3 linked regions of the Drosophila melanogaster genome follow. The protein of the gene in region 2 purifies or fractionates together with the protein of the main gene of each other region. This does not show direct contact. Each region holds a gene or a part of one and is shown on either strand. Other genes may lie near its edges.

What was found.
Region 1: the proteins of Cbp80 (region 2) and Sgf11 purify together in Drosophila melanogaster (affinity purification with western blotting; one study listed by BioGRID). This does not show direct contact.
Region 3: the proteins of Cbp80 (region 2) and Paip2 purify together in Drosophila melanogaster (affinity purification with mass spectrometry; one study listed by BioGRID). This does not show direct contact.

Annotation. Positions count from the first base shown.
Region 1 is NT_037436.4:18,680,146-18,683,444, forward strand, and holds Sgf11 (SAGA associated factor 11kDa), read right to left. Parts: upstream 1,692-3,299; 5' UTR 1,544-1,691; coding exon 953-1,543; 3' UTR 892-952; downstream 1-891. Other genes in the region: CG32202 (uncharacterized protein), read left to right, coding at 2,132-2,232, 2,294-2,618; Chmp1 (charged multivesicular body protein 1), read right to left, coding at 3,074-3,299.
Region 2 is NC_004354.4:4,648,263-4,653,326, reverse strand, and holds the start of Cbp80 (cap binding protein 80), read right to left. Parts: upstream 3,278-5,064; 5' UTR 2,998-3,277; coding exon 2,955-2,997; intron 2,896-2,954; coding exon 1,557-2,895; intron 1,496-1,556; coding exon 1,392-1,495; intron 1,373-1,391; exon of another isoform or gene 1,275-1,372; coding exon of another isoform or gene 1-1,274. Other genes in the region: CG15473 (uncharacterized protein), read left to right, coding at 1-1,274; torsin, read left to right, coding at 3,562-3,754, 3,813-4,642; mRpL30 (mitochondrial ribosomal protein L30), read right to left, coding at 4,738-5,064. UniProt on the Drosophila melanogaster protein: Component of the cap-binding complex (CBC), which binds cotranscriptionally to the 5'-cap of pre-mRNAs and is involved in various processes such as pre-mRNA splicing and RNA-mediated gene silencing (RNAi).
Region 3 is NT_033777.3:12,979,041-12,986,139, reverse strand, and holds Paip2 (polyA-binding protein interacting protein 2), read right to left. Parts: upstream 5,095-7,099; 5' UTR 4,753-5,094; intron 2,406-4,752; 5' UTR 2,401-2,405; coding exon 2,257-2,400; intron 2,194-2,256; coding exon 2,093-2,193; intron 2,030-2,092; coding exon 1,900-2,029; 3' UTR 652-1,899; downstream 1-651. Other genes in the region: CG7091 (uncharacterized protein), read right to left, coding at 5,723-5,887, 5,944-6,185, 6,322-6,604, 6,663-6,971, 7,030-7,099.

The sequences.
Region 1 (3,299 bases), on a different chromosome or scaffold from region 2:
CGAAACGGGAGCCTTGGGTCTCCAAGACCTTTAGATCCGCCAACATGCACACGAACTTTACCTTTAAATATGGGCGAGTTGAGATTAGAGCTAAAATGCCCAAAGGCGATTGGTTGTTTCCAAGTGAGTGGATATTTAGTTTTTATAGCTGGTAATCACTACATGGTTTTGATTACTTTAGACATTCTTCTGGTGCCCCGTATGGATAAGGCGGATGACGATTTTTTCGATCATATTCGCTTGTACGCCAGGGGAAATTTACTATGGGGACGGATTTCACGACTATTATCTGGCAGACTGACAAAATTATCTTTAAGTTCGATGGCGAGTTCTTCGGAGCAGTAAACAATCCGACACTTCTTGAACCATTTCGAAAACATGAGGTAAGACGCCTTCCTCTAAAAGATGTAATATCTCTATGATCTTTCGTTTTTAGTGCCATCTAGTCCTTGGCCTAACCGCCGGCGGCAATGTTAATTTCAATGACGACATTCTAGAAATGAAACACAAGCCCTTTTTAAACACCCACCCCAAAACTGACAAACAATTCGAGGAGTTGTCTAGAAATTCGGACTGGACACCCCTAGTGGTCGACCATATCCGGGTGTTTGCCATTGATAAGGAAGGAAAATAACCAAAATATATACTCTTTAAGTTGTAAAATATAAAACTAAGGCTTGCTTTCATATTATTACATTGAATTACTTCATTTAGCACCAGGAAAGTCTATGTTTAAAAGCGCCTATTTGCTGAAAAGTTATATTACCCTTGTCCTATGATATCTAGATATTAATTGATTAGATATTGCCACTAACTGCTGTCCTATTCAAATGATCTCAAAGAAGAGTAGGGGTCGATCACCAAAATCCCATTAGTTTAGAATACATTGGTGACTGATTTAAAGGTGTACTTTTATGGCAGAATAAACTACGAAAATGATTGTTAGCTCTGACTAAAAGGTTTTGCCATTGTTCTTCTTGGAGCCGTTGTTCCTTGAGTTCTGGTTTGATTTCTTTCGACGCTTGTCGGACGACCAGTCCACGTCATCCTCATCATCAGTGCCTCCGGTATTTCCCGAAGAGTGCAGGTGGGCGGATGTGGCGCCCTCTTTGGTGGCCAAGCGACGAGAGGCAATTCGCGACGAGATACGACCCATGCCCATGCACTTTTCCAGGTGCGGGGCGAAGCGGGCGGCGGCCACCAGGCGATCACAGTTGGGGCAGGTGCAGTCCATTGGCTTTTTGGCCGTTGAGATGCCGAATATGTCCAGGTTGGGCATCTCGCACATTCGATAGGTTGAGTCCTCCGGCACTCCGTCCAGGGCGGCCAGATTCCCTGACTTTCGCAGATGATGTGTCTCGTTAAAGATTCCGACTACGGCGTCGTCGAGCAGCGACTGGTACAGATAGTTGGCCGCCTCGTCGAGGTTCTTCGGTTCCTTGATCAACTCCCGGAAGTGGTTTACAATCGTAGTGCTAGTTGTGGGAACTTGGTTTCCCGATCCCTGAGCTCCTGTTGTCGTCGGCATGTTGGCTGCAGACATAATAGTTGGCGCAAACACTATATCTATTTGCTTCTGGCTGTCTTCCTGTCTGCTCTGGAAGATTTGTTTGGCATGCCGGTTGTTGTTGTGGAACTACATAAGTTACTAATTGTGGGTTTGCTTAACACGGCTGTTTGCAAAATGAGAGAGTTGCCAGGCTGGTGCAAATAGGGGTAAATAGTTTTAAGGAACTAGATATTCAATTTAAATAGTTGCATCTAAAAGTAACAGCTTTAACCGTTATAGCAAATTATAAAATTTATATTATTAACCAATTTAAATAGTTTATATTTTCATTAACTTATAATTTTAAATGCATCAGGTTTTGTCATTTCATAAAACGAGTATGTAAAGTAATTATTATGACCAGTTAAATCTTAAATTAAAGACAATTATGTCAAGCAGTTTTTATGCACTTTTGCTAAATTTAGTTCAATAAGTGAACTAGTCCTTTTTTGAATAAATATGACGTGGCAACGCCTGTACCGACAGACGGAGCAAGAAGAAAATCGCCCATCTGGCCACACTGAGCCATGGCGTAAATAAAAACATTTCTAAATATTGAACTATAACCAATATCTGTATAAAATGTTGCTAAATAAGAAAGAACTCATGTACAAACAGCTGGTGGAAAAACTGTATGACAGGTGCCAAAGGATTCAGGCGGAAAATGAGCGATGTGTGATGAGGTAACCGTCATTTTTATGCTCCACGAAACGTAAACAAAAATGTGCAGTACCTTTTATCCAGAGTAAATGGGATCAAAAAGATAGTAAGAAGGCGCAATCATGACGTGGAGCTTCTAAAACGGCGACTAGATAAGCACGGAGACGACTGGCGATCCGTTCCCATGGAGGCTCCACATCCCAAAGGGAAAACCGAGCAGAAGCGTCGAGGACCGAAGCCCAAAAACAAGCAGGCGGCGGATGAAACAGGAGCACCCGGGTCTGAGCCTGGACCCAATACTCCAGCTGCCCGGAAACCCCGAAAGCAAAAAGCCAAACAGGCACCCATCAATCCCAATCCAGTCATTGCACCACCGCATCAACAACCTCAACCTCCACTGTTGACCTGAGTCATAGCGATTGCTTGGCGTGTTCTAGTTTTAAGATAAAGGGCTTGTATACTTTTAAATATAATATTAAGACAAATAAAAGCTAAGACCAGAAATGAATTATAGTAACCAAAGCAATGAAAGTTGTGATTGCTGCAGAACCATTTCTATTTCCAAATTATGCTATATCTTTCCAAGTAAACAAGTTACAAAAATTGGCAGGTCTTCAAATAACTATAACAACAAAGCCTTTAAAACATGATTATCGTATATTGCATTAGAAAAGCATGTAAATCATAATCCGTTTGAAGCCTATACAAACAGCACACTTACACTTAAAGATTCATGGCAATTCTTCTGATTATGGTAGACAAAGCAGCATCGATAGACTTCCAATCACTGAGTTTATACTTATTTATATTTTGAATGTACTTAATTGCTAAAACAGAAATTCAACGGGCAGGGCGTCGCTATTTTTATTCAGCCTGGCGGAGACGTGCCAGTCGCTGGGTGAGCTCGTCTTGCTCTTGGGACACTGCTGTCGAGGCTCCAACGGATTGGCTCTGAACTCCGCTGGGCAGCTCCATGTTGAGTTCGAGGCCAGCCTCGTCGGCCACTTGCTGGAGCAGATTGTCGACATCTCCCTGAGGCACCGAGGTGGTTACCGTGTCGGACATGGTGCCCTCCATTACCGAGCTCTGG
Region 2 (5,064 bases):
TATATACTGGTGGTCTGCTCAATCTGGGACTGCGGCCCAATTATGTGGTCCCGACTACATTTCGACCAAGCTATCCGACTGCGCTGAAATTTGGAAATCATCCGGAATTGGAAAGATTCCCATCACACAGCGGTGATTTGGGTAATGCTGGTAATGTTGGTCCAGCGGTCCCTGGGGATTTGGCAGGCATTTCGGGCGCTGTAACCCATCATTTCCATCACCATTTCTATGTGGCACCTGGTGCCGGCGATGCCCAATTGCATCCGGAATTGGGCTACCGCTTGCCCAACTCCTCGCCACCGCAACCGATCACACCGGCTGGCAATCCGTCCTCAAACTTATATACCCATCATCAGACAGTGCAGTTTCCCAGCTCCAATTCGGGTTCTTCCGAATCTCTGGAGGAACAAGATCAGGATTTACTGCTGCGGACACCACAAATTTATGGGCAGGCTTCCAAGTATCAAACAGCCAAGCTGCCACCTTTGCTTATCTATGCGGGCGGCAATTCCGGCGATGATGACAAGTCCTTTGTGCAAAGCGAACCGCTGGAGGAGACCGTCTATCGCTATTCCGAGCCGGATCCTTTATATGTCCACCAGAACCCCATCGATGTGCTGCAGGATAAGCAGCCGCCGGAGGAGGAAACCGATAAGGGACAGCATCAGGAGCAGGCAAGTGACCAAAAGCGAGGGGAACAGCGCCCAGTGGTCAGTTTGGAGCAGCCCGAACTGAGCACAACTGTTTCAGCGCCATCTTCCAACGCTGGCACAACCACTGAGACTGCAAGCACTGAGAGATCCACACACGTCATCCCCACCACGATCGCCAGTTTTGTGTCCACCTCCACGCACTTTAGTCCATTGCGCTCCATTAGTAGGTATCGCACCACGCCAAAGATAACAGCTGGACGATCCACCACAACCACTACATCCACCAGCACGGAACCACCGCTGAATAAGTGGGCCAAGCGGCGAAAGGAGCAGGACAGCAAGGCCAAGAGCAGTCACCGCCACGAAGCCTTCGTTAGCACCACTTCGTCAACCAGCACGACAACTTCAACCACAGCAACTCCGCCGTCCACAATCGCTGCATCCACTGGCGTTCCATTGGCGTCGCCACTGCCACCGGCACCATCCAAGGAAGTGGTGGAGGTGCTCACCCAGAAATCGGTTAGTCGATCTGTGAGCATCAAGGTGGGCGAGAACGGCGAGGAGATACCCATCATTGTGGACGACGAGGAGAACGAGGTGAAGCCAGTGCTGACTAATTAGCTGCCTACCCATCTATCTTAAATCCTAATTATCCTATCCTATATTTAAGCCTAGCCGTAAGCACACTTAATCCCACAATAAATTCAAGTAATCCGTACGGCACGGGGTCAGACTCACCTGCCTCCTCGTTGGCGTACTTGTAATTGGGCACTGGCGTCAAGGGAATCAACTTGGCATAAGTCGTTGGCATCATTTCCGTAATGCGCTGATGATACGAAAGGCTGTCAAAGATGTATGTAGTTGAGTATCAATGGTTTGTACACAGACACGGTTATAACCTACCGTAGGCACTTCTGCAACACCTCCTGGATGAATTTGGGACGCGGATGCTCGCCGTCGAGGAGCAGACAGCTGTCCCATTCGTCCCATGACCATGTGAACTTGAAGTTGCTCAGATGATAGGAGAACCAATTGACGAACCGATCGAAACATGACGTGTTCATCGAGTCGATGCGCATAAAGAGGATCTCGGTGGCCTGGGCCAGAACCTGGGGCAGCGTGGCCGGCTGCAGTTTGCAGAGTTCGATCAAAATGGAGCCGTAGCAGATGTCCAGATAGCGCGGCGTGGGCATATGAAAGAGCTCGGCGAAGACCACCTCGACGATGCAGTACTCCAGCGGGATCTTGTGCTTGTACGGAAAGCTAAGCAGCTGGGCGGCGCAATCCTTTCGCTCGTGATGGTATGTTTCAATGATATGGTGTAGATGCTCCTCAATCAAAAAGCGCTCTATTGAGTGGGCACCCGGCAGATTGGGCCCATCGGGGCAGTCGGTGTAGTCGAACATGCGGTACACCACCCAGGGCATGGGATACTCAAAGTTGTCGTGATGCGGCGGCGGCACAATCGTGGGCAGATTGTGCTGCAGTGCCTCGCAAAGTATTGAATCGAATACGAGATAGGGTCGTGGTATATGCTTCTCCGCCCAATTGTCCTGCCGCAACTTGCGTATCTGCGCCCACAGGCAGTCCAAGTACTCCTCCTGTGGATGCGGAGCGTCTGAGGACCACACCCTCAGCGCATTATGGTGCTTCTTTGAGCGTTTGTTTAGATAGACCTCGATCCTAAGCAACAGGGACTCCAGGGCAGACTCCTTCTTCTCGTAGAGATCGCGACCCACCCAGGGTAGCGTGGAGAGCACAGCAAAGACGAACCAATCGCGACGCACCTGGGGCACTGTATCCTCGTTGGAGACATCGATCATGGTGTCCAGCAGCTGGAGGAGACTGGTGGCCGAAATGACGTGGCAATTGACCAGGTCGGCCAGAAAGCGCAGCGAGTAGCGGGCGGCATCCCAGCGGCACATCTTGAGGGACTCCTTGAAGGTCTTCACCATGTGATCCACGAACTCGCCGCCAAACTTGTAGTTCTTGGCATTGAGCAGGCCCACCAACGTGGTGTAAACGGTACACTTCTCTGGCATTCGCACGGCGCAGTCGGACAGGATGCGCAGGATCTTCAGGCGAAACGTGCCCAGATCGGCCTCCAGAACGGAGACGAGTCCCTCTAGGTTCGATTCCACGGAGGAGGTGCTACGCTCGCCCACCCGCAGTATCAGCGACTCCAGACGATCCTCGATCTCCTGGTTTTCGGACACACGTCTACGCTTGTTGCGCCGATGATCTGCAATTAAATGCCCCCATAAATGCTTTGCGTTCATGATTACATCGATGCCCACTTACCATAGCCCTCATCCTCCGTGTCGTGAGCCCTCCTGCGACTCATCTTCCCGTGAATTTTCTGTGAATTTTGCGGAAAACACCGATTACCGATTGGTCCTTGGCCACCGGCAGACAGAAAAGCACGCTGATGGGTACACCTCTTGGACCTGGACTTTTTCGGGGATCCTGGACAGGATACGCTTGACGGATGGGCCTTGTTGGTGCGTCTAGTATTTCACTGCGAGCGTCAATTAGCTTGCCAACTTTCAAAACAGCTTTGTCACAATTTTCACAAAAAACGCGATGCGATGCTATTTTTTTTTTTTGCCAAAGAACTAAAGATGTGCCGCCATCGATGGCAGGGTTTATCGATAACAGCGGCGGCGTAAGCGGCGGACTGAAAATGGGGCCTGAATAAACGTTTTCTTTGGCGCCATATGCGCAGAATTGCGGCATACTCAATTAACCAAAACATACCACTGACTGACTTACAATAAAAATCTGTTGAATGCCACTGCTACACAACTATCGATAGAAACGGTTGCCGGCAAGTGCTGCAATCTAGTCTTATGCTGCCTATCGCTTTTGCCCATCTATACATTCCACCGCGGAATTTTCCTTGCATTTTATGATGAGCTTTCCACGCATGTTATCACTGTGCCTTAGCGTGCTTGTAATACTGCCGCTTCCCCTCCAGTCGGTGGATCCCCTGACCATTGGTGCCGTTGGCGCCGTGGCCCTTGGGGCGTACTTCAAAGAACATACATATTGCCGGTTTGCCGAATGCTGCGATGACCGAAACATTCCGGCGAGAATAGATGGTGAGTGAGTAGTTTTGTATGCAACAAAATGACTAACCAGTACAGTGGGTAATTACAGAATTAGAAAGATCCCTGGAACGCACCCTCATTGGCCAGCACATCGTGAGGCAGCATATCGTCCCCGCACTGAAGGCGCACATCGCTTCGGGCAATAAGTCACGGAAACCGCTGGTCATCAGCTTTCACGGCCAGCCCGGTACGGGCAAGAATTTTGTGGCTGAGCAAATTGCAGATGCTATGTATTTGAAGGGCTCCAGGTCGAACTATGTAACCAAGTATCTCGGACAAGCTGACTTTCCCAAGGAAAGTGAGGTGTCTAACTATAGGGTGAAAATCAATAATGCGGTGCGCGATACCTTGCGTAGCTGCCCGAGATCTTTGTTCATCTTCGACGAGGTGGATAAAATGCCCAGCGGAGTATTCGACCAGCTCACCTCGCTGGTGGACTACAACGCCTTTGTCGATGGCACGGATAACACAAAGGCAATCTTCATCTTTCTCTCGAACACGGCGGGCAGTCATATAGCCAGTCATCTGGGTAGTGTGATGAAGAATGGTAGGCTGCGCGAGGACACACGACTGAGTGACTTTGAGCCCCTTTTGCGGAAGGCCGCCTATAACATGGATGGCGGTATGAAAAAGACCACCATGATTGAGTCTCATGTTATCGATCATTTCATTCCGTTCCTGCCGATGGAGAAGGCGCATGTGATCAAGTGCCTGGAGGCGGAGCTTTTAAGGTGGCGGCGCGATCCTAAGCAAGCGAACAACCAAAAAATCATTGAGGACATAATAAACTCCTCCATTAGTTACGATCGCACGCACAGCTTGTTCGCCATTTCGGGCTGCAAGACGCTGGAGAAGAAGGTGGCCATGGCCATTTACTGAGAAAGGACCGACCGACTCCACATTTTAATGCTTAGTTTGGGTTTCGGTTTGTATTTAAAAAACTATTTTTTCGGAATAAAGAAAACAAATTTTAACTACCAGGGATTTAGCCACTTGAGGCGGGCATCTTTGCGCAGCAGATCGGTATCCAGTCGCTTGGGCTGCTCGTCGTAATCCTGGCGAGCCGCCAGGCGGGTATCGATGGGTCCCAGGTCCTTGGTTACCAGGCACTCGCCGTTCTCCTTGAGTATCGTATGCCGGACATCCTGGGCAGTGGGCTCTCCGTAGGGGAACGTGACCGGCGTAACCTTAATTAGATGCTTGATCTTCCACAGGCGGGCATTGTTCTCCGGTATGTTCTTGACGACAGTAAAATCGCTCTGCTTTCCGTCTAGTCCCAGATCTTTGAGGATTCGATTCTC
Region 3 (7,099 bases), on a different chromosome or scaffold from region 2:
AAGCCCACATTTCACTTGATGCGTTATTGGGCCACGAAATATGCTGCATTTTCTGGGAAAATCAACTGGGAAATCACGACGCCATTTTTGGTATCGGTATTTGGATATGGGTATCGGTATTGTTCCACACAAAACTTATCGAAAGTGCAGTGCATTAGCGGTATTCTTGAAATTGAAAACATTTTATAAGCAATAAAAACTTTATCAAATTTCAATTACTACAAATCATTGTTTATTATTTATCCGATTTTAGGATGTTTTTCTTTTATATTGCTTAATTACAAAAACCTTTCCGCAACAACTTACGTATACTATATATTCTTTATTTATTCGTGTAAAGTAATAGATTCGTATGAAAAGTATGTAAAAAGTTATGATTAAGCGTGCAATGAAATTTTGATAAAGAATATTTTTAATGTTTAGAGATCTTATTATTTTCATGCTCTTCCAATATGATATAATAATTCAGATGCTAATAAAATAAATGAAGATCAGTAAATTCGATTATCTTTCTGATTCACTTTCCATAGTATCTATGCAAGAAAAAAAATATAAAAAAAATAAAACTACCAAGTTTTTATGCCATAATAATACTTCTTTTTATTGAGATTTTTAAAATCATTTTTGATATTTTTTTTGCTTTGTTTTTTTGTATCTTTATATCACACGTAACGTAAGTAATGTAGTAGATCTTATAATGCTGTCTTAAGTCACTAAATCTAAGTTGATTGAAAAAATAGAAATTCATCTTTGTCTACATGCCGAAACGAATTTTAACGATATTAACAAATCGATGAGGGCTTTGTGCATTTGCATCAAACGAATTTTATACTTAAAATTACAAACTACTTGTTATTGCAGCGTTGTTGTTGTCTGTTGTCTCCTCCATTAACACTAGATATACATATTTATGCATGATGTTTGTATAAAGAGGCGTTAAACATTAGTATATCGATTCGTTTAGTTCACTAGATTATATTGGTAAATTACAAATATTGCGAGTCAGTAGGGAAGGTTAACAAGCGCTTCTTGTTACTTGGGCATAGAACGTACAACGAGTTAACAATGGTGAAAGATTAAAAAAAGATGATCAACTTAAATCGAGTGTAGACAGTGGGCGGGACGTTAAATTAATTACAATTTAAACTACGATTAAAGTCTTTGAATAGAATTTCAATTTAACGACATGACGGCTACAAATTCTTGGTTTGTTTCTAACACAATCGAGTCTTGTTTGTTGCTTACAGTTGCTTTAGCTGGAAATTGGCATAGTTTAGTTGTAGTTTAGATTTAGTTGCTTGTAAAAAGTCATTTGTTTTCGTTTTGTACGTTAATACCAAAGTTTTCACTAGCTTCAGCAAGCGCCTGCGTCTGCGTTTCTCGATAACATTTTAGGTTCGGAATTTCTGGGGCTCCGAATTTCACGGCAAACAATTCGGTTTTAACTCTAATTTCAATGTACTCTAATGTACGTGGCATAGTTGTTATTTTGTTATTTGTCTGTTCTTAGTTTAAGTTGTGTTTTTGTTTCTTTGTTGGTTTTTCTTTTAAACATATTTTTTGTATTTTTGCAGTGGTTCAGTTGTTTTTTATAAGGTTTTTTTTTTAATATGATTCGTTTGCATTTCGGTCGCCAGCATTTGGAGTTTGTTGGTATATTTAGTTTTCTTTTCCAGCATTTTGGTATCTAGAAATAAGATATTCATGAGCCACTGCTCCCAATGCTCCATCTGGCTCAACTTGGTCAGAATATCAATATCAATCTCATTAGCGGAATCTGTTAGTCTAGTCTTAGCAATGGGTCTTCAGTTTATCTAAGGTTTTTCGCGTATGAGGTCCACGTGGTACGGGTTCGGGGTAGTTTGTGATTCTGTGGCGGGCAGGAGATATGGGCTGGCTTTATGAGGCAGGGAAATCTATAACATGACAACGCGGAACAAACTCATCAGCCATCGGATTCAGAACAGACTTTTCAACATCACACTGGCTCTTGGGTAGTGCGGAAAGTGCCGTGTTCTGCTCGTCCGTCCTGAAATAAGCGATTGCAAATTAGCTTTAATTCAGCAATGTTAACCGGATAGCCACTACTCACTTGGCCTTCTCCCATTCGTTGATCTGCTCCTCCAGCTCGTCTTCTATCATGGCTTCAAAACACTCCTGCATAATCTCTTCCTCCTCCAGCCGTTGCAGTTCCTATTATCAGATAGCAAATGTATTAGTTAATTCGTTAATCATAAATAGGAGATTTAATCTTACGTTCTTGTCGAACTCCTCCTCGTTCTCCATCCACATGTATTCGGAAAAATCTGGCTCATCGTCGATGTCTGACAGCGACTCGTCGTCGTCCACTACGTAAATTATTTGATCCGTCCAGTCCACAGATGGCACTTTTAACAACATATTGGCTGTAAGGGATTTTGGATTACTAAAAGCGAACTTATCAACAGTTGGTCTCATATTTCTTAATATTTCAACGATTAAGCTCAAACTATGAGAAATATATTATATTAATAAATACAATTTAAACATTTGAATCTGAGGTGCCACGGAAATATGTCTATATATAAGGCATTCGATTGATTTATAAATTGCTTAATTACAACTTAATCTCAGGAGTTTCAGAGTTTTTCTGAGGTTCTCAAACATACATATTTCTTGTAGCCTACTCCAACGAATATTGAAAATACAAATTCTTCTGCTGTGCTACTGAATGAATTGAATGAATTTTTTTTTAGCTTCGTTTGACTTAGGCAGGCTCTTCTGTATTTAAACAAATCGTATTTAACCGGCAAGAAGCCGGAGCAGTTGTGTTTTCGTTCTACGAAACCGGTTTTCCGTCATTACCACGAGATAAACAAAACAAAAATCGCACCTATACAGGTGTAGTGGCTAACACTAATACCTATTTGTTTATATAAATAAGTGAACATTTTCTCTTTTCTTTTTGCGCAACGTTTTTTTGTTTAGTGATGTCTATTTTTTGCGTTGTGGCCGCGGCACACAAAAATTTGAAAACAAAGTGACTCAGCTTTTGGTGCAAAAGCGAAAAGAGCCCCAAATAAGTGGACATACTTGTATGCTATATACATATAATGTAGTCTATAATTCAGTACTACATCCGATTAGAAATGTATAGGCTCACAACTCGTATCACTTCTAGCCCCGCTAAACATTTTATGGCGTATATAAATGCCGCTATCAGCTAAAAACAAACAAGCAAACGTGTGAAATAACACGAAAGTCAAGAGCGGTATTTATGCAAAACGCAATAAGCCAAAGGCGATGATTGTCATCGGAGGAGTTTGTGGGCTTAGCTATCATGTTGAACGTGCCTGTAACGTTCGATTGTGTACATATTTTTATAATACAGTTTTAGGACATTAATATTTTAATCACGTAATTTCATTCTTTTTTACTCTGCTTACAATATTTGCGCACTAATAATTGCACGTCAGTTTAAGAGCAAATGTTTGACATTTTTTATGAATTGTTTGTATCGAAAATAATATATTTTGTTATTTATTTTTATTGAGGGCCTAGTTCGTTACCCGCGGCTGTGCGAATATTTGTTTACAGTTCTCCATACATAGGCAAGTTTTGCGTGAATGTTTATTCCACACAAGATAATGATTACTCTCCATTCTAGATTTTTATTGCCTTTGGTAGGTCAAATCGCACTATCAATAAATTGAATTTTTTGCGTCTTCCAACTTTTACTTATTTATTTATAAAAATCAGCTGCTTTTATCAGCAAGACAAAGTGCTTGGAAAAAAGAAGTTAGGATGGCAACTCTGGCCCTTTACTGGTGTACGTGCTGCCACACACACGCACACGAGTGAAGCACATCGAATTGCAAGTAGATGTTAAGTTAAGCGTCCATATTTTAAATGAAATTGCGAAAATTAAAATGTATTTGCACGGCGGACTTGACGAAATTCGTGCATACATTTAGTATGTAAAGTGAATATGCAGAAAACACAAAGGAGGCAACAACAAACACACACACAAATGGGCTCTCAAGTGCAGTGGTGTTGGTGTGCCCGATTGAATGAACCTCCCTCAACCCAAAAAAAAGAGCAACAACAGCAGCGGCAATGATAATACATACAGCGCACTGTTTCATTCAAGGTAACAAGTGTTTAAAGTTTAAACATTAATATTCTTGGGGTTCGTGTACTTGGAGTCTAGCTTGGCCCACGCACACGTACACAGGAAGAAAAAAAGTAGACTTCTAGCATTTAATGTTTTATTTGAAGTACACTCAAGGCAATAAATCACTTTACTTGGTAATTATAAATTCGAATTTCTACTAGTAGGTTTGAAAGATGATATATGTATATGTATATGTTAGGCATATGAAATGATTTTAAATTTTATTATATTGAGACATTTTGAAAAGCAATTGACTTTTATACCCTTGTATTGTAGTTAATTAACTGATAAAGTCATAAACTTTCTTTGTGATGTGCAATAAATAGCCTTGATTAATTTTATTACCATGTTAAACGAAATTTTTTCAAGTGTAAGTAGGGAACACCAAGGTAATGTCCGATCCGACACTTGGCCTTTATTGATTTGTCCAGAAGCGGTTTTAAGTGAACGTTTAAGTGTTTTGGCGGAAGCGCCAAAAGGTAAATGAAAAACCAGGAAGCCAAGTTCTCTGACTTCCGCCTTTCCCCGCGCACAAATAAATGTATATACATATGTACAATGTTTGGGATTATTTAATTTGTTTAATCCGATCTACTCACTCTCAATCCTGCCGAGAAGTTCGTCCGCTGTTGCACTGGATATTTTGGAGCCACTTCCTCCGGGAGACTTGTTGTTTTTATCGATGATGCTTGATTTTGTTGTTGAAGAGACTCTCCGTTTTTTTTTTGGGTTGTACTGAGAATTTTGCGTCGCTAGAAAATCGAGGAAAACACTGGTAATTTAGTGTTGCATCCAATCCAGATTGAGTCCACACGGAGAATTTTGATATTTCTATTGCGAAACGTATTCGACTATGTGCTGTGTGCGGAATCACGTCAGTGAACGTCAAGCAACCGAATTGAAAAAAAATTGAAATGATTAATAAAGCAAGGTGGAGAAACATCGATGGCACTATCGATGCATCGATACTCCCCTGCGACTATCGATGTCTTTCCACCTATATATAGTATAGCACAAAGAGTTATAGCATACGCTTTCTAGAAATATTAATACTTTTCCTAAAGCATTGTGATATATGCGATTTAGCACCATTAAAGTAGGTAAATGAGCTATTTCTTCGTCTTACAGTTCTCAGCCGGGACTCAAACCAAATCTATGCGTCAAATCAAACAGCTATCGATTGGCGTGTAAAGAATATGAGCATTTAGTACATTGACTGCCAATAGATGTCTGCTTTCACACATATTTTTGAATTATTGAATATTTGTGTAATTTTGTACTTGAAATGTAGAAAACTGGTCGTTGTGAAACATTTGTCAGCTTGCTTTATACAACGGTAAAACTATCGATAAGATTGAAAGATACTATGTGCTAGGCGCGGTTTTTAAAAATTTTATTTGAAGATTGCGTTGAAGAAAGTTCAATTATCATTTTAAACTAAATTGATATGTATATTGTATATTTACATTTATTTTGTTTTTATTTTAACACAATTAACTCTACATTTATAGTAAACAAATAAAATGCTTCGAAAGTACAAAAAAGTTAAAACATTTAAACAAATAAGTGCTAACTATTTGATTCCTGAGCACTTGGTGATGCAGTTTTCTCCATTCTGCTACGAGGATCCCAAGGTTGTAGGTTCGTACTGCTGCAAAATGCAAATACCAACATGGCCATCGTATTAAAGACAATCAGCGTCATCAACACCACATTCCACTCATCCTTGCTGCCCTGCGAGGTACATAAATAAATCAGTTTAATCATAAACTACTTGTATTTAAACTTACAGTGTGGACCAGAGCGGCCACAAGATGGGGAGCTAAGAATCCGGAAAGATGGGCCATTCCATTGGCCAATCCCGATAGCAATCCCGCGAAGGAGGGCGCAAAGTAGAGCAGCGTGGGCCAGTAGCCACTGAAACCCATATCCGTAGTGGCCATCATGAAGGCAAACATCACAAGTACTAGTATTTTGTCATCACAATTAGCCAGGATGATGACCCCAATCAAAGAAGTGGTCAGGATGCTGCCTGGTATTATAAAATGGGATATAAAAGAGAGATTGGTGATGTTTCTGGAGATGCTACGGAAATCTATATAGGAATCCACTAAGGGAAGGTGTTCTTTATAGATGTCTGTGGCACTCCGATTATCGGTATGCCTTACAGATCCCGTACAGCATTCTTCGCACACAATTCTGGTCAGGACCCACGCGTCGTTCCACATAGCTGCCACCCAGGATGCACATCACCTTCGAGCAGATCCCGCCCAGATACGGCGCCGCCGAGAGGAAGCCCACCTCGCGGAGATCGAACTCCATGGCCTCGCGCATAAATCGCGGCATCAGTTGCACAATCACCAGGAAGGTGTAGGTGTGGAACATGTGGGTCAGGATGAAGGCGTAGACGGGCGGCGCGGCGAGCAGGCTCTTCCAGGGAATGGTTACCACCTAAAAAGAAGCTAATTAATTTATAATTTTAAAGTTAAAAGTACAAGGAACTACTCACTGGCTGCCGCTGCTGTCCCAATTGACTCTTGCCCTGCCTCAGGTAATCCACCTCCTCATTCGATATCCTTGGATGTTGCTCCACGGTGTCGTAAACGAGAAAGCAGCAGGCAATGCCGAATGAGAGGCCAACTCCACCGACTACATAGAAGGACAGTTCCCAGCCGAAGTTGCTCAGATAACTGGCCACCGGGTAAACCAACATGGAGCCCATCAGAAGACCACTGTAGGCGAAGGACAGGAGCGCTGTTCTCTCTGTGGGATGAGCCCAGGTCACGAACAGTTTATACATTGCCGGATTTCCACAGCCCTGTCAAGTAGCAGGATCTATATATATCTATTAGTATCTGAATGATGCTATTCCTTACCGCCAGTAAACCACAGATGACCAGATCAACCACTCCGGCCTCGAAACTAGAGTGCGCCATTGCTGGGAGC